Linked DNA regions of Oreochromis niloticus. The protein of the gene in region 1 purifies or fractionates together with the protein of each later gene. This does not show direct contact. Links are inferred from orthologs where the notes say so. Each region holds a gene or a part of one and is shown in the gene's direction. Other genes may lie near its edges.

Region 1 (9,982 bases):
TCACCTTGGAGAGTTCAGCCATCAGTGTGCTGTTCTGTAGTCTGAAATCTTCCTCCTGACTGTGGAGTTTCCCCTGAAGCATCTCGTTCTCACCCAGCAAAGCATCCACCTCCTACACACAGAGAAATAACACACAAAATAATACATTCAGAATAAAAAACTGACTACAGGTTACAGAAACTCCTACTGAGATCACCCACAAAGACAGACAGGCCAAACTTTGATGGAGAAATAAAATACAAGTGATAATAAAGTCCAGTATTTTGACATATTGTTACATCTCTGTCATTTCTTTGCAATTAAATCATCAAAACAGTGGCTGGTAAAAGGATTTCTGTGCCAAACAATGCGACAGAAACATAGTGGAATATGTTGCAGTCAGAGTGAATTAACACTTTCAGTGAAAACACTAAAGTGCCAAAAAGAGAAGACGTCAGAACCAGGTGAGAATAAACACAAACTTTAAAACCACAGTTCAGTCGTACTTCAGTTTTTCTTTAGAACAGAGAAATGACACGCGGCCAAAAGCTAAACTCTTATTTTTCTGATGCACTTCCAGTTCACCTGCTGCCTGACTGACCTTTAAACATTACAGCTTTCACCACAGCAGCAGAGCTTAAACAGCTCCCGTGGATGTGATGGTACAAGAAGATGTGATTACTCGATATTGCTGATGTTTGCACTGCGGTTTGCAGTCTCAGTTACAGAATTAACCTCCAATTAGCAGATTACTGGTGATAAAGAATTAAAGCCCTTTACACATCACGTTCTGTTGCACTGGTCCTGTGTGACTCTGGTTATTAGCTCAGATTAATGTTTCTTTATTGTCTTTGTAAAGTTACAACAACCTGTGAGTGGATGTGAACAAGAACAAAGTCTCCAGTGTTCAACAAACTAAAACTATAAATGTTAGACAAAGATGAGAGAAGGGCTCATTATGTTTCCTGCTTCTCAGGATACAGCTATATACAAAAATGTGAAAAATGTCTTCCTTCAACAATGACAAAATAAGGAACAATTGAAATGACATAACTGAAAAATGTTTACACAAGAAATTCACTGAGGTAACAATTATCACCAAACAACAGCTTACCTGAGCTTTCTTACTCTTACTCAAGGCCTGAAGAGAAGAAAAGCAGAAAAACATTTAATATAAATCAGCAGCATGAATAATAAAAAAAACTGAAGACAAGCTGTATTAGAAAATAAACCTCCAAATTCAGGTCAGCAGGTTAATTTTTTCCAATCACTCCTCTACAAAAACACTCCACAGTAATAAAGTGTTCGTTACCTTCTGTGCTTTGATAAAATCTCTTTCCAAAACCACATTCTTCTGACGGACGGCATTCAGCTCTGAAATGCACCAGGACGACATTTAATTATAGAAAGCACGCGTTTCCTCTTCAATAAAGTTTTACTGCTAACATGGGCCGATCAAATATTTATGCGATGAATAATTTCATGTACGTTAGTTGAAGTGGAGCCTGTACATTGACTGCATTTAAAGCCTGCTTGTATCCATGAATGTCAGGGTTGCGGGTAGATTCCCTCCTGTGTTTCCTCCTATATTTTGCATTTTCATAGACCATCTCATGTTCTGTTATTTTACTCTAGTGAAGGACCCTGCTTGCTTTCATGCTGTCTATGCTGTGATATGTACACACTTATCTGTGTGCAATTTATTCTGTGTGAATATGTACATTTTAAAAAGTGGGACAAATAAAAAATATCATTACTACTATTATTGGGCCATTGCACTTAAAATACTTCCTGCCTGAGCCTCTCCAAATCAGCTGTTTTATTTTTTAAATAATTATAATATATTTAACAAAGCAACGGAAATTTTTACCTTCATACCATGAATGAATGAATGAATAAATGATTTTGACCCAAAGGAATTGTGGCTAGAAAGAAGACCTTTTATATGCTGTAATTTTTTTTGTCCAGCCATGTAAATGTGTTTTTTAGCTCTAAAATTTTTCATGTGCTGGGAAAATAAGGCCAGAAATTTTTGACCCAAATCTCTGGGTTCTTGAGGGCCTGTTAGTCACGCCACTGATTCATTTTACACAGGACGGCTCTAAGTTAACTACACCAAAATCCTCCTCCGGCCTTACAGTGTTTCCAACTACACATGTTTATTTTATGACTTTTTAAAATCCAGCTAATCCCTGCCCTTTCAAACAAACAAAGATTCATCTATGCAGTCCTGTTTTCCTGGAATAATATGCAGACGGATCTGAAACGGCCGTAAACCGCCCCACAGTTAACAGTTCGCATCAGTCACTTGTAAAACCTGAGACAAAAGCTTCTTGGACAGTGTGTTTTCTCTAAAACTTGCAACAAAATGAGTTTGAAGCAGTTTTGACCTTGATCTTTTATTTTATATTTCATATAATCTCAATGTTGTGTTCTCTCTCATGCACTGTGTGACATTTGCACTTGTCCTCTAATGTCTCTTATAATGTCTGCTGCCCCGTTGGCAAGGTCACTCTTTTAACTTCAGTAAAACCTTCACCCGGACAAAAACTGCCCAGGTGAAGCAGGAAAACTGGTTTTAGGCTAAGGGTCTTCTAATCTGTGTGAATGTGTGTGTGAATGGGTGGATGACTGGATATGTAAAGCGCTTTGGGGTCCTTAGGGACCAGTAAAGCGCTATATAAATACAGGCCATTTACCATTTACCATAATCTGTGTTTTTAAAGATTCTGTTGCTTTAAAGAGCCTCTTGTGTGCTTGTGGTAATTTCAAGTGTTGATGAGATGAAACAGCAGGAACTAGAAGGACAAAGAGTGAAAGGTTTTACCTGCCGTGTTCTTCCTGAGATCATCAGACAGCTGGTAGTTCTGAGTCCGCAGCTCCAACAGCTGGGCCTGCACAAGCACGCGCACACACACACACACACGCACACACACACACACACACACACACACACCAGTATTAATTTATGACCAGCTTTACTTAGAAACTGCATGAACCATGTTGTGTTTTTGATTGGCCAGTAGGTATTTGCATCCCTTTTCAAAGGTCAACTGATGATGAGCTTATTTATCTTTTAACATGTAAATAAACTGATTACTGTGCTCCGCACTGTAACAAGCAGCAGCGTGGTGACCAGAGATCACTGAATGTCAGCAAGAGGCAAAATAACCGCTGGTTTATGCACAGGTGGTCCCACCCATCCTCAAAGAGTTAAAAACCTGGGACTCCATATCAGGTTTTAGAGCTGAAGATGCCCCTGAGATGAGAGATGAAATGTCTTCATGAACCAAGAAGTCGTCCAGCTGCCTTCAACTGAAACACTTAACACAAGCATAGTCGGATCCATCCCAGATATCCAGTTTCAAGAGGGCGACAAGAATACCCTGATCTTGAAGCTTTGTAGCAGGACTTCACAAACCAACGGGTGACATCACGGCAGCTACACCCACCCAAAATGCTGTTTATGCTCATTACAGAGCACTCTACTCTCTTGCCTAAATACACTCACTGCTGACACCAAAAAACACAACACTGGCCGTTCAAATGTAAAGTCCAAAACCAGCTGCTGACACTAGTGGCTACCTCCATCTTTTAGAAAGATCTTTCTTCCTAAATATTTCATAAACAGCATGATGTCCTGTAGGGACCCACCTTACTGGCCCAGAGGAGCCTTACAGCTGCATTTAAAGAGCCCTGCACACATGTTTATGTTTTAAGTACACCTTTCTATTCCTAACTGCATTTATTACAGAATAAAATAATGCGTTTACTACAGTATAATAGCTGTATTAACGGCTTTTTTGTGGTAAATATATTTGAACTCTTCCCTACTGCTGTTTACCATGTCAAGATTCCTGTTCTTACACTTTGTGTAACAACAGAGAACGACTCTATAAGTATATAGTCCTATTAAAGTGGTCAGGGAGGTCAGTGGTTAGTATGTTAACAGGTGTTTGAGCCTCCCGGCCCTGTCTCCGACACAGAGGAGCCCACGGGAGCCTGCCTCGGACCCCGTGACTCTCAGCAGGGCGAGAGTCCCTTGAATGCTAACATGTTAGCCCGCTGTCAGATAGAAATAACGGTTAGCATCAAAAATGCTACGCTGTGCTTTTCTTTACAGAGGGGGAGGCTAAGCTAGGCTAAGTGTTGAACTGAGCTCTCTCGTTGTGTCTGCTTCCTCCCCTTCTTAAGTGTATCGCCCGGAGGCATGTCAAAGCTCGGGCTGCCCGTTACCTTCCTGCCAACGTTAAATGAATAATGTCAGCCGAGCTAGCCGTTCTAACCGCTCCCACCTAGCAACGGCTCACGATTAGCAGACTGTGCTAACGCCCCTGGCAGTGATGCTGCACCGCACAGGTGTTTTTCACCACACTGACACCTACACGTGTGAGAGCCCAGCGACCCAAAAGAACAATCGCTGTAGTTTTTCTCACCTGCATCCGATGGAACTCCTCCTCGGACAGAGCCTGCGACATAGCCATGTTTACCTTCCCTGCTGCTGCGAGCTAGCAGGCTAAGCTAGCGGAGGAGGAGACGCAGCAGCTGACAGAGAGGAGGAGACAGGATGGAGGTTTCACTCTGACGCAGTTTCTGAGAACCGAGCAGCTGACAGAGAGGAGCCGCCATAACAGAGCGCTCACTCTGATGCTGTTTCCGAGAACTGAGGAGAAACCTCAATCACTACGAACTACATTTACTCAAGACCTGCGAATATTTCGAGGTCAGATTTTATATATAACAAAATATATTTATATTTCCATGTAAATATCATGAGAGATAACGAAATACGATCTTTGTTATAGATTATGTACTTTTGTTTAACAAGGCCAAATGAGTGGTGCCTTTACAAAATAATTCCAATAAATAAATTTAAAAACCTTTCACTCCCGCTTCTCACATGTGAGGACTTGCTGTTCTTTTCTTAAGGCTGTTGTTTGAATACTCAGCAAAACAAGCACTGCTAAGGTGTCATTTTAGGTTCTGGACAGCTGAAATCAATGTGCAATGGTGAGCCAGGGTCATTTTCATTACTGAATAAATGAATAAAGAAAATATCAGATCCAGAGTAATGGGAATTAGTTGTGTATGTGGCTCTGAGCCACTGGCTCATAATATATTCATGTTTAATTATGTTAATATGGATCAAAATTGTTGAGGAGTGTTCCCAGCACTCACTGAAGAAGGGAAAAGGTAGTCCAACCTTGTTCTTGTAAGGTGTCTGAGTGTATTTGGTGGCTTTTGCTACTATTGTTTTTAGGTGGGGCTGTAGCTCAGGAGGTAGCACAGGCCATAAAGGTTGGTGGTTTGAGCCCTGGCATACAAAACATCCTTGTTAGATAGAAAGCACTTAAGGACAGGAAAAGAAAAATGCTTATATGAGTGGGTGTGAATGAGGTGTGTTCAGGTAGAACAGAAAAGAGCTACACAAGATTGCCTCCAGTTTATGTGAGAGTGGTTATTCAACTTTTGAACTACATAAGTTAGATCTCTATCTAGTTACCTTTCTACGCCTGCTCGGCAAAAAGCAGAATTAATCACGTGTCCATCACAGTTCAGTGTTTTTAAACACGTGCCTATATCTTTCAGCTTCAGACAAGGCAGTGGTTTTAAATTCCACCTCTGTCAACACTTCTCTATCAAGAAAATCTATCTCTGCACACTGTCTGGTGAACACACAGGTGAAACAGGTTGCCTGACTGCATACATGGTATGCAGCCTGTGCCAGATTACTCACTAGCTGTGTGCTTCAGGAAGGAAATATATTTCTGTAACACACCAACGCTTTAAAATTCAGTGAAGTAACCAGTTGTAAAGTTTTTGTGATTTCTTTCAAACTGTGCACATACTTCCTTGTTCTCCAGTTCGGATAGAGAGAGAGCGAGAGAGAGGCTCAATTAGCTGGTGTTAAATTATTAACTGACAGACAGAGGCAGAACTGAGACACAGAGGGAAAGAGAGAACTAAGAGGTAGAGGTAGCGCGCGCGACAGAGAGAGAGAGAGAGAGAGAGAGAGAGAGAGAGGCTTATTTCAATTTCAGTTTTGGCTGATCAGCCTACAGCCAGGAGAGTAGAGTCAGTGAGGCGCACGAGCTCGGCTCAGGTGTTGGATGTTACTTGACTCGAGATGGAGCTGCTGCCCTCGCTGCTGTCCAGACTGAAGACAGTCGATCCCAGGACTGTGGATCAGGAGTACAGTGTGAGTGTTTGTTTTCATTCCTCAGTTTATGGAAAAGCCAGTTTGAGAGCTTTCACATCCTCGAGAATCTGGTCCAACGAAATAAAAGTGCAGTAATAATGCACTGTCAAGTTCAGATGACAATTGAGAACAGCTTGAGTAACTCTGAGGTTGAGCTTGAGGTTAGTTTTTCTCCTATACGTCACATTTTTACACAATGCACAAACTTCTGTATGTTGTGGACCTTTAACTTCGCTGCTTTTCATCTCTGTCAACGACTTCTTTTATGTGCTGCACTTTCCTGGAAATACCTGCCTCTGTTTTCAACTTTGACCCATCTAATCAAATGAGCTGCAGCCAATAATCAGATAAACTCAGTCACGTGAGGCTGGTGTGTGTAAAACATGCAAAGCTAAATAGGTTGAGTCTAACATGCACACCATATTAGGTTGTTTTCAGACTGAGGATACTCTTATTTTCATGAACGCCATCAGCACTGTACCCTGTTTTTAGTATTAAGCATTAACATTAATACATTAAGAGGGTCCTGAATTCTCTAAGAGCTCCAGCTTTTCCTCCACCTATTCAAAAACCTGCTTTATTAATCCTGCCTGTCTTCATTCAACACAAAGATTTGTGATTTCACTTCAGTTAAGTCTCAAAGACTTCAAACCGGATTTTGACAGGTTGTGCGGGTGTTCCTCAGGGGTCCAATCTCAGTCCATTTCTCTTCAAATTTTATTTTTAGAATAAACACCTGCAGTCCAGACCAGACAGAAACCAACTGTGCCATCAATTCTGCTTTTACAAACCTCACACGGGTCCAATAGTCCTCTTCATTGTCAGAAAGGTTATGACTCGGTCCGTCTTACGTCACACTCCTCTGTGTCACACTTTCAATTACACGGTACTCTTCAGCATGCCATTTAAAATGCAAAGGGTTAAGACGGTGAACATGCTTATCTGAACCCAAAATAAGACCTTTTTCTAATCTGAACCGAGTAACACTGGTGCCTTACCCTGACCAAACAGTAAGTGAAAACAAAAATGACGTTTCTTTTTAATTTTAGTATTTTATTAAGTTTATGTTTAGCCTCAGAGGTGAAACTCAGGCCAGTAAAATACTAAAAATAATTTCCAGTGGATCACAAAAGCCACAGCAACTGTGAGTTATCGGAACATGACAAAGAGACGAGACTCACTTCTGTAGGCGTTTCCAGGTTGACATCTTACCATGATCATACCAACAGACACACTTATGGTAACAGTACCAGCAAGGGTGTGATGGTCCAAACTCTCGTTTGATGTGCCAGATAGACACTGACAGAATATCGACTCATCCTCCTGAAAAAGCTGCAGGAACTAGATTTATATGCAGATGGCCAGTTTGCATATGATTGCAATCAGTCAAATTAGGTATTTTTCAGTGTCCTGGTCCTGCGTCTCTGACCCAGTATTCTGTGCTTGTTTTAGGCTTATTACTCATTTCTTTAGAATTAAGAGGTTTTCATGTTCTAGTTTTGTATTAGTTCTCTGTATGTGTCTCCAGCTTAACATTTCCTAGGGCCTTGTAGGTTTGTTATTGATCTTTCTAGTTCTTGGTTCTTGTTTTTTTTATGCAAGTTCCCTTTTGTTCCTTAATCTCTCCCAGTCTCGTCTGCGCCTTGTCATCGGCGTCTCCTGTGGAAGGCACTCCTGTTTCTGTGTTGTTACCCCCTCTCTCTCCCCGGTCATGTCCCCATGTCCGTCTGGTCTCCCAGAGTTCTGTCTCCATCGTTGTCTGGTTTCCCTGTTTGTTCCATCAAGTTTGTATAGCCTCTTTTCCATCACTACCTACTTGGATCAACTCGCCAGGGCGAGCTGGATTGACCAGTTTTCCATTACAATCGAGTGCCACGTAATGTGTGTGGTCATTGTCACAGTAATGCAGCCGAGGGTCCTGTGATTGAATTAGTATGGAACACGAACAGTACAACAAAGGTGGATGTCAAGGTGTGGATATACCTGCTGGTCAGTCTTTGGCTTTTCGTCAGACTCGGGGATCAAGGTGTTGTTTTTTGGGGGGGTTGTGGTAAATTCCCTCGTTTGTGGCTTTCAAAAATTTGAACTTGTCTTCCATCTGCATCTTCTAGGTCCACTTTGTGCTCTGTTCATGAATGAACCTGACCCCACTGCACAGTGTCCTTTATCCTGCTGTCTTTCCTAAGTGGCTGCTTGGATAAGAGACTCTTTAAAAACTTTGTGTAATGCCAGCTTCAAAGTCACATAAAATTTATGTCCAGAAACAAATCCAGCGTAATTATAAATTTAAATATCAGGTAACTGATCATTTTCTATTTTACTGTTGAATCAAACAAGGAAGCCTGCTTTTGCTAAAACAAACTGTTGACATTATCCAACCATCTATCATCTTATTTCTCTGTGAAAATCAAACTACATCCTTATTTTATAACATAAAACAAGAAGGAAATGCATTTTATTTGAGAGAACTGGCTAATTTATTTTACACCAGCAGGACGTACAATAACTCGGACTATAAATGCTTTAATGCTGTGGTCAGTCTGAAAGTCATGTATGTCGAGTGAGCACTGATCTTAAACTGCTCTAACTGTTTTACATTATTTAACATGTCAAAGCCAACCGTCCCGCTGTGGTGGAACAGCAGACGAGTGTCTGAAATATCAATGCTGAGAGATTTCCACCTTTGCTTTGTCTACAGCGCAGCGCGGTATTCGCTAATTAAGATGAGATGTTCTAGACTTCAAACTGATGCTGTCCTCTACTCTCAGGCTCAGTGATCAGAGGAACATCCAAACAATCCTCCCATATTCAGGACGGTGTTGTCCTCTAAACATGTGTTATTTATCGCCATATATTTAGGTACACATTACAACTCTTAGTCGAAACAATGATCATGGTGACATCGTGTAGCTGTTGCTGCTGAGCTGCAAGGAAACTGCAGCTTTCTGCTAATTTTCTTTAACTGTATTGAAACTTTTTTTAACGTTAGATTAATCAGTGTGAGGCGTATTTCATACTCCAATATTTAAAATGGTCACCCTGCTATTGTTTTCCTGTATCCTAATATCAGAGTACAATTCACACCTTTAGGTCCTTTTTTCTGCTACTTATTTAATCGGTGTGTGGCTGAGTCACATGGCCTGATTGGGCATTACATCCTGCGTGACTGGATCGAGTGAATAGTGATGTAAATTCACATGGTGCTGCTAAATTAATTATTTTGGGGCACGAAACGTATTTGTGTTCAGGGTAAGAAGCCTGTCACTTTGCTACTTCTGCTCTGCTCACATTTTTCTGAGATGAAATGAATTTAAACTCACAGTGAGGTTAGAAATGAGCAGAAACAACCTGCAGAGTTACTAAAAGCAGAGTTTAGTGTCAACATTACACTGAAACCATTCACCACAAAACACATACACACAAACAGCTGTGTTTTCATGACTTCAGGGGCCATGACACTAACTGATGTTCATTTCCTGGACAGCGAACCTTGGACTACAATAAAAATCCATCACGCTGTGGAATTTTATTCAAACCAAACATGTGAAAATGAAAACTTAAATTAAGTTTAGGTGTTTTCCTTTTTTTCTGCCTTTGAATTACTTCATCACTTATATAAAGTTACAATCTAAACATGGTTCAAATTTATTTTGTCTTCCTTCTATTTCAGAACTTGGTTTCATTTTTAGGCCAATATTCTTAAAATATCCAACATGAGCCAAGACTTATTTTCTGACATACATTTAGCTTAACCCACAGGCCTAGCTTTCTGTTTTTGTAGCTTTCGTAGGTAAAGCTGGTTAA
Region 2 (10,051 bases), on another chromosome or scaffold:
GACACCAGTTGTCTCGGATAACTAAAAACACAGCGCTTATACTATTTAATAACAAACCCAGCATCAGGAATCCTTCTAATTCAGTTTTAACCATTTTCTGATCATAGAAAATGCGCATTGTTTATATTCTTAACTACATTCACAAACCGCTTTCTGTCATACCCACGATACAAACAGATACTACACATGACCAAGTAATACAATTACTGCATGTATATCTTTTTATTAACTATTCATGACACACTTCCACTTATGCTGACATTTTTTTAAAATGCATTTTAAGTAGATTCACAGAATTTATAGATTCACAAGTGTCATTTCCTTTAGTCAGTTAATCTAAATGTTACAGCTTAACCTTTAACAGAGCTAACATGCATGAATGTCCACAGATAGTATACGGTATATATACATGTGACAATCAGCATCTTTAGCAGGTATCATCCATTCTGAAGCTCCTCTTCGGCCCAATTCGTCACCGATCTGTATCAGGCGGATCAACAGCATCCCACAAGTTTTCCTCTGGAGAGCTCCTGTCTTCCTTTGAGTCCACTGCCAGTCCAAATCCAGCGACTCCAGCAAGATGTGTCCACAAACATATGTACATCCCACTTACGGCTACCATATTGCCACCAGTTATGAATCTATATATGAGACTCCTCTTTAATGTTAGGCTCACGGCCAGTCAGATTTATAGTACACGCTTCCTCTTGATGAGCTCTCACATCATGTCTCACTTGACATTAGCGACAGTCTTGTAGTGCTTGATAAGTATTTCCAGCAGTTTGTATTTCCAGTAGAGTTCATCGCCGGCTTGACGAAGCTCGCGTGCGCAGAGTTCAACAGCGGCAGCAGCACCCACGGGTCTATCTGAGGGAAGAAGACATCGGTTAGATCATATCAGTCGATTACTCGCAATCTGTTAGTAAAATATCGGGCTTAACTAAAACTTCCTCAATCAGATCTGTTTATATATTCACCTTTGCTGGCCATTTTCTCAAAGATAATAGTCCGAAAACAAGAAGGATCGTCTTGCTTCTTACAAAACAGTGTTGAGACTTGATGTTAAGAAACAGGTTTGAGCTATTGATAGCACAGACCGGCTTTTAAACATGTTACATACGTCAGCCACATACTCAAAAAGAAATCCCCTGTTGGTCACGAGTCAACTTCCTCCTCCTCCTACTTTGTTTACGAGCGTCTAATCAGTAGTGTTAAAGGTTAAAATGGTTAAAACTTAGTATGTTTTCACTTTGCTAAAGATATATATCCTACACTATACTTTATTTCGAAAGTCACATTTAAGAATAACACGGACAATAGAAATTGACACGTACATATGTTTTTTAAAAAAGTTAGAAGTCTTAGAATGAGCTCATAACCAAATCAAAGAGAAAGCAAAACAATATGTGAACCAGTTCCACCGAAGCAACATTTCATCAGACCAGTTTGTTAACTGAAAAAAGCTCACAAACCAACCATAAAGAAAACAGTACAGAGTGAATGTACGGCAACAGTTCACAGCCACATTTTGTTTCCTGGCCGATAAGATTAGATATTTAGAAACACTGTTCACTGTTCACCATGTACAGGACAGATATCATTGGACGTATTATATAAACACAAACACAGAATATTTAAAACAACAAGCTGGAGAAAATGTTTCTTTACACCAAAACCTTGCATTAACCGGTGTCACGCAAGTTTCCGTGACTGAATTAATGCAAAAACAAACAAGGCCAACACCACTCTAATCACGTTACACACACTGGGCACGTGACCTGTTTACGCTAAAGGGTGATGAAAAACTTTGTGACGTGGAAGTCAAAGATATGTGCATTGCGCTTCTTCCTTAAAAGTGCATTATTTGCATTGTGCTTAGTACAAGCGCCATGAACTTGTTTTGGTATGCCTTCTCCTTTCGTACGAAATGGGAAGTACCTGTAAAATATACCGCTGTTTAAAATCAGGTGATACGACGGCTTAGAGAGTTGCAGTATTATTTCTTTATTTAAGGAAAAAGTATTTGCTTTTGAGAACTGAGTTAAAGTCCAAACTTTAGGATTAAGAAATCTAGATTATTGAAAGTACCACAATATAAATGTTTAATGTATGTGGCATCATGGGTCTGTTAATACCTATGCCACAATGTTTACTGTTATAGCTAGTCGGTCTGGTTTTAATATACATTCAACACCTCTTTATTAAACCTGTTCAGCTGCTCATCAATATCTCATCCAACCAATCACATGGCAGCACTCATTGCATTTACCATGCAGACAAGGTCAAGACTACCTGTGAAAGGTCAAAGCGAGTATCAGAATAAGGAAGAAAGTTAAAGTGACTTTAAAAGTCACGTGGTTGCTGGTGCCAGATGAGCTGGCCTGGAAGTTTCAAAGACTGCTGATCTATTTGAATTTCCCCACGCGTCACCATCTCTAGAGTTTTAGTAAGAGAAAGAGAAAATATCCACTCAGCTTAAAGCAAAAGAGGAAATTCCGGCCTCAACTCCCAGTGGCTTTTCATGGTTAGACAACAGAATATTCGAAAAGTGTTGCCTGGCCTGAGTCTTGATGACCAGAGTGTACCAATCTTTTAATCCTGCTTCCAGCCTCTATGCCACAAATAATTAATAAAGCCATACTGAAGGCTGAAGCTGGCCCAACCCTGTACTAACAGGGTGTAAACTAGTCAGCAGTTTAGCCTAGTGGCTGCTAAACACATGATGGGCCTCCTTTAAAGGGCCATGTAATTAAGAGCGAATTTAGATTGAGAGCAAATTTCAAATTACATTTCTGCATTTTTTTTTTTAAAAAAAAAACATATAGAAAGTGAAAAATTATGTACGATATATTTATGATCCCCTCATCTTGCCTGGTATCTGTCAGGGTACCTGGGTGTTGGACCCAACTTTTGTCATTGATTAGTTTCCCATGTATGTTTCCTGGTTAGTGTGATAGTCTTTTGTCTCGTCTGCATTATGTCTAGTTCTACTTCCCCTGTGACATTAGTTAGATTTATTCCAGCTGTGATCCCACCTGTTTCCTGTCCGTTATCCTGTCTGTTTAAGCCCTCGTTTCCTTGTCTCGTTGTCCTCAACTCCTCGTGTGTGTTTCCAATGTAGTTAAGTCATTCATGTTCAGTTCAGTCTCTGTAATAAATCCCTACTCCATTCCAAACCAGCCAGAGAGTCCTGCATTTGGGTCCTCTCTCTCTTCTCCACACACCTGAATGTGACAGTATCCACTTAGCAACAGGCTGAACAGATCCTGTCATTTTCCTTTCATAACAATAACACGAAACAGGCATTTATTAGTATACTAAATATGTATACAGTGGTATAATTCTATGTATATTTTTATGTCTCTCTATATATAGTACTTGTATGGCAATAAAACAATTTTAAAGGTTAGTGGGAAAATGTCTTTATATTTTAATTACTGTACTACTACTATTATTGTACTACAGTAAACGTACTTAAATGGGGCAAATCTAAGTGGCACCACTGCACATTTCACACAGCTGCTAGTTGTCCACAGAGCTCAGTGGTCACATGGTTACAGCAGGTGTGTCATTGCTGCTGATAACAGCATTGTAAAATGCATTGGCCTCTGAGGTTTTCTTTTATTGCCAGGTCCTTAAGGTACAAGTATATGTTTTGAATGTAAATCAACAGGCTTATCATGGTTTCTCTCTTGTGCAGTCTTGTGACCTTTTTTATGAAAGTTTGTGTTGTTTTGCAACGTCTCTGAGAGGAAATCACCCCATTAATCTTCCACTTCATGGTTGGGGTTTGTGTGAGTGACATTGCTTTGGTGGAAATAAATAAATAAATTGGAAAACACACTGACTTTTTTGGGGGGCTTTCAGGGGTAGGTTTGAAGTCGGTGCTTGTGTTATTTGTGATGGGAGCAGGTAGCTTGTGTGAACAAAAAAAAGTTGACAGGCTTTGACCTTTGTTTGTGTAAATAGTGACAAATGAAGAGTACACAGATGTGACATTAATAGTCAAGCTGTTCGTTAAATAAGCCGTTCATTCCATCTGGGTTGAAGTGAATTCAGATCATTTAATGTAAAAATTCTTAGGAAATGTAACTTTACCTAAAGGTATGCATATATTTATATGTAAATATTAAACACTTGTTCCCTATTATATATTATAAATTAGCAATAATATTATAACTGTCGTATTCATGTGGTTAAAGTGGAAAAAATTTTAAATTAAGAATTAAATTTTGATTTATTAGATTATTATTAAAATTTATTTTATTTGTATGGTCAATTTGTGAGACAGCAAAAACATGTAAATGGATTCTCTGTAAAGCTAAGGTCAGCTGGGTTTAAACTTACCCTGAGTTAAGTTTAACCTGTGTAGGACCCTAACCCACAGCAGCCCATGCCTGATTTTTAATGTGTTACAGGGCTCAAATCAAAAATCTGTGTGACACTGGTACTACTGGTGCTTATGGAATGCTGTTCCATAAGCACCCACACTGGAAATTCCTTTGCTGGTAAATCAGAACATCCAAAACATCAATTTATATTGGAATAATATAGAAACTTGAGTGAAGATACACCCCCTCCTTTTTTGTCTGTCTAATTACTTCCTGTCCGAGATCAACATGCTAGACATGCACATTAATACTTGTATGAATAAGTGACACAAATACTCAAACTATACTGACTGGCGTGTGATGGGGAAATTCTGAAGTGGCATGTTTTAAAATTTATGAGAAATAGGACATCATAGCTTGTTTTGAGTGTTCATGTTTGTTCTTTTGTATAATTCATCTATTTGTATGCTGTCTACTCGTTGTTTGTTCAGTAAAGTTCATTTATTTAAAAATAAAAAGTAACTGCAGCTGTGTAAAAGCGAAATGTTGCCCTCTGCTGTCGGGGACCTGAAGTACAACGTAGTTTAAAAAGAAAATGATAAACGAGAGTTGTGTGTCACTACAGTTAATATAATTACATATGACCGCTGCACCCTTACAACCTTTGAAAAGTAAAACTAAAGCCAACTCAGGTAACTGATTAACTTATTAACTGATATTAATTAATAACACATGTAGAATGATAAGAATTCTTGTGCCTTTAATGTGCACAAGAATCAAGACAGAATAAAGCCCAGCTACAAAAACCACGACACAGATAAAACCAATGAAATAAAATCCAAACATAAATATGAATCCTATCTGGTTTCTAGTTATTTAGGAGTTACACAGTGTAATAGCCACCGATAGAAAGGATCGAAAGGGATAGTTCAGTCCTGCACCTTGGGACAATGATGGATTGTCCCTGATGCTGAAGAGGTTGTTCATTAACATGGGCTATTTTGAATCTTCAGCAGTGAAAGGCTCAAGGGCAGTTAATCCATTACTGTGCTACTGCTGGTATTACAGCACTGTAAGGTTTTCCTATTTGTCTACACTGTGTTTATTTAACAGCACTATTTACCGATTACGTTACAAATTAGGATTTCATATGTTTTCTTACAGTGTACTACTTTAGTTTTATTTGTTGTTAGGGATCAACCCCCTCAAATGAACTACTTAAATCATGTTGTATTTTCTTCTTCTTGTTGTTCTTCTCAACATTATTATTAATATTAATATTATCATTATTATTATTATTATTATTATTATTGTTATTATTATCGGACCAGTTTATACCAACTGTAAACACTGTAAGTACGCCCATTAGCCATCAGATGGCGGCAAAACCAAGCTCAGCGCAAGAATCCGATGAAGTTTTTGGCGCTCCAGTTGTCACGTGACTGCGCTTGCGTCACTTTGACGGGCTTTGCCTGACAGACTCAGCTCTTGCCTGACAGTCGGCACTTTCTCTTACATGATCAGAGAGTGCTTGCGATAAAGCGCCTGTCTGCTGCCTGCTCCGTTTACATGATGAAGAACCTTCATTTTAAGGATTTCTTCTGGGTGAGGTTTTTTCTTGTCTTTTTTGTTTGTTTGTCTTTCTGTGAAGTTGTGATTGGAATTTGAAACATTTTATTTTTTGATTCAGCTTCAGATGGTTTAATAAAAAATTGTATTTTTGTATTGTATTAATTATTAGAAACGGGAATCCTGTTGAGGGATCTAACGTTCGTAAAATAGTATGGAAAGAGGAGCATCAAAACTAAGCTATTAAAAACACTTGATATGAACTGATGGGGAGTTTTTGGTAATGCAGTCATGTGTAACCTGACCAATGTTTTATCAGATCACGTTTCTCTCTCTGCAGTGTAAATAGTAAATGTCATTTCCTTTAGTGGTGTAAAGAGTAAACTGAATAATCCAGCAGATTAGAGTGGAAATACTGAGAGTACCAATAACTTCTACGCAACATAAGCAAATATGTGTAGTTAAATTTCACTGCAGGATTTTTGCATTGTCTAAGTATGGCCTCATATGGTGTATTTTAAACCAATAGAAAGTCTGGCAAGTTGATTATAAGCTGTTGCCCTCACCTTAACTAAATTACAGAGATGCCTAGTCCCAAACATTAATTACACTCAGAGTCAATTATTCTGAAGCTACAGTGCTCGTTTATGTCTGTAGGGATGTTTAAACAAGTTTAGCCAGAGCGTGGCTGTCCTACAGTTAACCTGGGTGTGGGAGTAGAGGTAGCAGAGGTACAGCTCTCTGTTTCTTTTAAGATATGTGCTTTGCTGTAAAACTGTCTGCTGTAATACTGTCTGTGCATCTTGCTGACAGAACTCGGACCTGACCTCCACTATCGGGTATGATGCCATCATTCAGTATCTCAATGATGGCAAGAGGACATGCAAGGAGGTGGAGGATTTCATGAAAGCCAGGTAATGCCGTCATCCTTATATATAATAATGCACAACTGATGGGATGTTTGGCTCTAACCAAAGTCTGGAAAACTGTGTTCAAGCTTTACATTTACAGGCCAGTTGTTGCTATCAATGTAACTGACTGCAAGATAGGTAGATGTAGTGCAGGTTTTGGCTGCAGGCATGCAATTAGGATGAAGAGAGTGAAAAGAAAATAAACTCTAAGAACGACAAGTGTAGTGGAGGAGGACAGCATTTAGAGCATTTTGAGATTAAGGACAGTACTGGAATACAACAAATAAAGTTGCCTAAAAAAGTAAATTTTAGTTGCTATAATCTAAAAAAAAAAATCAGATAAATACATATTTTGATTATTAATTATATAGTCAGTCAAACACAAACACGTCCTACCGTCTTGTAATTTGTGCAAAGCGCACTATCGCAGTTATATGATTAAATACCAGAAAAGTAGTAAAATTCTGCTTTCTAAAAATTCTCTAAGGTTAATTCTGCACACTGTTGATGAGATGAGAGATGATGAGATAGCCTTTATTTGTCAGTTGCAGGTCTTTTGCCCGCAACCGAGATGACAGACCTTGCCGACCGTACATACAATACACAAACATCACATTGGGGAGACAGGTCAGGCTAGGTAGCGAGGAAATAAACATCGAAATGTGTAACACAAAAGGATAATACAGGAATGCACAGATATCAACACACCATAGCACAATAAACACAGACAAGCAACATGGGAAAGTGTTCCAGTGTGTACATCTGATCTGGGACAGCTGCAATCTTTCGACTGCGCCTCCAACTGACCCGATGTCCACATCAGAGGGGAGGTAAGCGTTGGAGGTGGCGTTGGATCCGGGGTAGGGAGGGGTGATGCGTCGGTGGATCACAGTAGAGCAGAAATGAAGTCCCAGTCAAGCAGGAATGATGTGACGCATCAGGTTTTATAATAGAGACGTATAAACTTTCACATCTAATCATTAATTCATCTTCCTCTTATAATAATTAATCTGTCCGTGCTCTCCCACACACACATACGCATACCAAAAAAACAAAAACACTCCACACATATAAAAGTCCAGTGTGTAGTCAGAAACGTGACCTAGTGAGGTTAATGCTATGAAAAAAGGAGGATATTATGCCAAAACATAACTGTACGTTTCCTAATTTGGGACTCACCATTTTTAAACCGCAGTGGTTTTAACAGTAATTGTGGGAAGATTTACCAAAATAAAAGTAGAGTAAGGAAACATGGTCAGAATGAGGTGTTTTGTGGGAAACGGCGGCAACAGTCGAATTCTTTCAGCTTTCGGTTATGCAAAAACAAATTCTTCAGGACACCAAAGAGCAGCCACGACAGCCCGCCGGTGTGGAGGGAGGACTCAGGTCAAACTTAGTGTGAGAACTTCCTGGTTTAGGTTGTTTGAGTCGCATGTTTTATGATTTTTTGTAAATAGTGTTAACTATATCTTGATCTGTGGCTGTGTAATTATATTTGAGTCTGTTAGAGTTGCATTTTATTTTAAGTCTCCTATTAGCATTGATAAGCAAATTAAGCATATTTTAAGCGGTCAGCATTATAGCATGCTCATGCATTTGTATAGTAAAACTGTATTCAGTTGTATATTTATATGTATGTTTTTTTTAATATTTATCATTGTACAATGCATATTAGAATTGATAAATTATTTTCCATTTTCTTCTCCAACGTTGCATCAATGTTCCTGTCAAAACTCTTCAGAGAAAGAACAGACTCCAATTATAACACCACACATGTAAATGTTGTCCTGTCTTTTTTGTATCAGTTAATAATTTAATATGTAAATTTATAACTTCTAAAAAATACTGATAGTGAAGCCTAAGGGATGTATAAATGTAAATTTATGATAAAGCATTACCTTTCAGAGATGTCTAGTATGGGTTTTGCATGTAAATTCATATACAGTCTGTTGGCTGGCAGACTGTTCTGTTTGTTGGCCGAATCTTTGCATGTATGCTTTTACGCTGCCCTCACTCTCAATGGGTTGTTTCTTTCAGGGCATCAGTTGAAGAGAAGTATGCCAAAGAACTCCTTAGTTTGTCCAAGAAGGTGTGTGGACACAGTGAGATGAAGTAAGCGACCTCTGTGTTGATATGCTGTTATTATGTGCTTGGCCTGCTGTATTTACAGGAAGCCTCACCCCATCTAATGCATGAGTGTGTTTCTGCAGTACTGACACAGTACCTTGTAGTCTGGACTCAGGTGTAGTGCAGAAAGTAAGGTCAAAGAAAACAATGAGTCTATTCACCAAAGGTTCTTGTTGTTGTTCTCAGTCTGTTTCACAAGTTGAATTTCGAAATTAAGTTTGAACTTCTGTAAAATTGACGGTTTGGTTATTAATGTTGATGTAGTCAGATTTTATATGACACCGCTACCACGATCTTTTATTAGCAAGCCTAGTTCCTGTTTAATGAATGCTCGCACTAATTATAGAAAGGAACGACTTAGCTACATAATTTACTTTATGAAATCTTAGTGCATTATTGATAGACTCGTCTTTTAAAGATGTCCTATCAAAGGAGTTACTTGAACCGCAGTAAAGGCATTTTTCATCTATGTTTTTAAAGCAACCTTGAGATCAGTTAGAAGGAGACAGAATGGATGTGTTGTCAGGATGTCCTTTCATTGTTCTGATAGTTATTTACAGCATTTTAGTTGATCTATTCTAGACAAATGATTGGTGTTGTTTTTTTAGAGTTAGAGAAACTGTCAGAGATAACTGTCTTTCATTAGTAGTTCTATCTGACTGAACATTTTATTTAGAGTCAGACAGAACTGTCTGACTCATATTTCTATAATTCAAATAGTAAAGATGTCGCTGATTCAGAGGCCTGCCGGCCAGTTTCACTTTAGGGGGTGAAAAGGAGGAACTCTATGGAGAAAAATGTTATTCTTTTTTGGCAAGTGAAAAATAACAAATTATAACTTTTTAGACAGAATACACAATTCATAAGACCATTTTAAGACCAGTCATATCACAAACTACGACTGGTATCAAATTGGTATCAAATTACATGTATTATGCATTTAATTCATTTAACTTAGTAATTCTTTTAGAAAACCTCCACAAGACTTTTCCTTCCTCTTTTAAAATGTGAACATTTTATTTTTTCAGGTTTGCTTGCTTGTTTGCACCATAGATTGTGAAATTTTAAATCCTTGTGCTTAGCTTATTTAGTTCTTCTTCTTCTTTTTTGGAG

What was found.
Region 2: the proteins of ptpn18 (region 1) and pstpip2 purify together in Homo sapiens (affinity purification with mass spectrometry; 4 studies listed by BioGRID and IntAct, with this or other methods). This does not show direct contact. The link is inferred for Oreochromis niloticus from reciprocal best matches to the Homo sapiens genes PTPN18 and PSTPIP2.

Annotation. Positions count from the first base shown.
Region 1 is NC_031984.2:3,703,430-3,713,411, forward strand, and holds the start of ptpn18 (tyrosine-protein phosphatase non-receptor type 18), read left to right. Parts: upstream 1-6,016; 5' UTR 6,017-6,106; coding exon 6,107-6,178; intron 6,179-9,982. Other genes in the region: gripap1 (GRIP1-associated protein 1), read right to left, coding at 5-112, 1,094-1,120, 1,292-1,353, 2,807-2,873, 4,416-4,463. UniProt on the Homo sapiens protein: Differentially dephosphorylate autophosphorylated tyrosine kinases which are known to be overexpressed in tumor tissues.
Region 2 is NC_031972.2:17,157,948-17,167,998, forward strand, and holds the start of pstpip2 (proline-serine-threonine phosphatase-interacting protein 2), read left to right. Parts: upstream 1-5,788; 5' UTR 5,789-5,900; coding exon 5,901-5,936; intron 5,937-6,713; coding exon 6,714-6,814; intron 6,815-8,848; coding exon 8,849-8,923; intron 8,924-10,051. UniProt on the Homo sapiens protein: Binds to F-actin. May be involved in regulation of the actin cytoskeleton.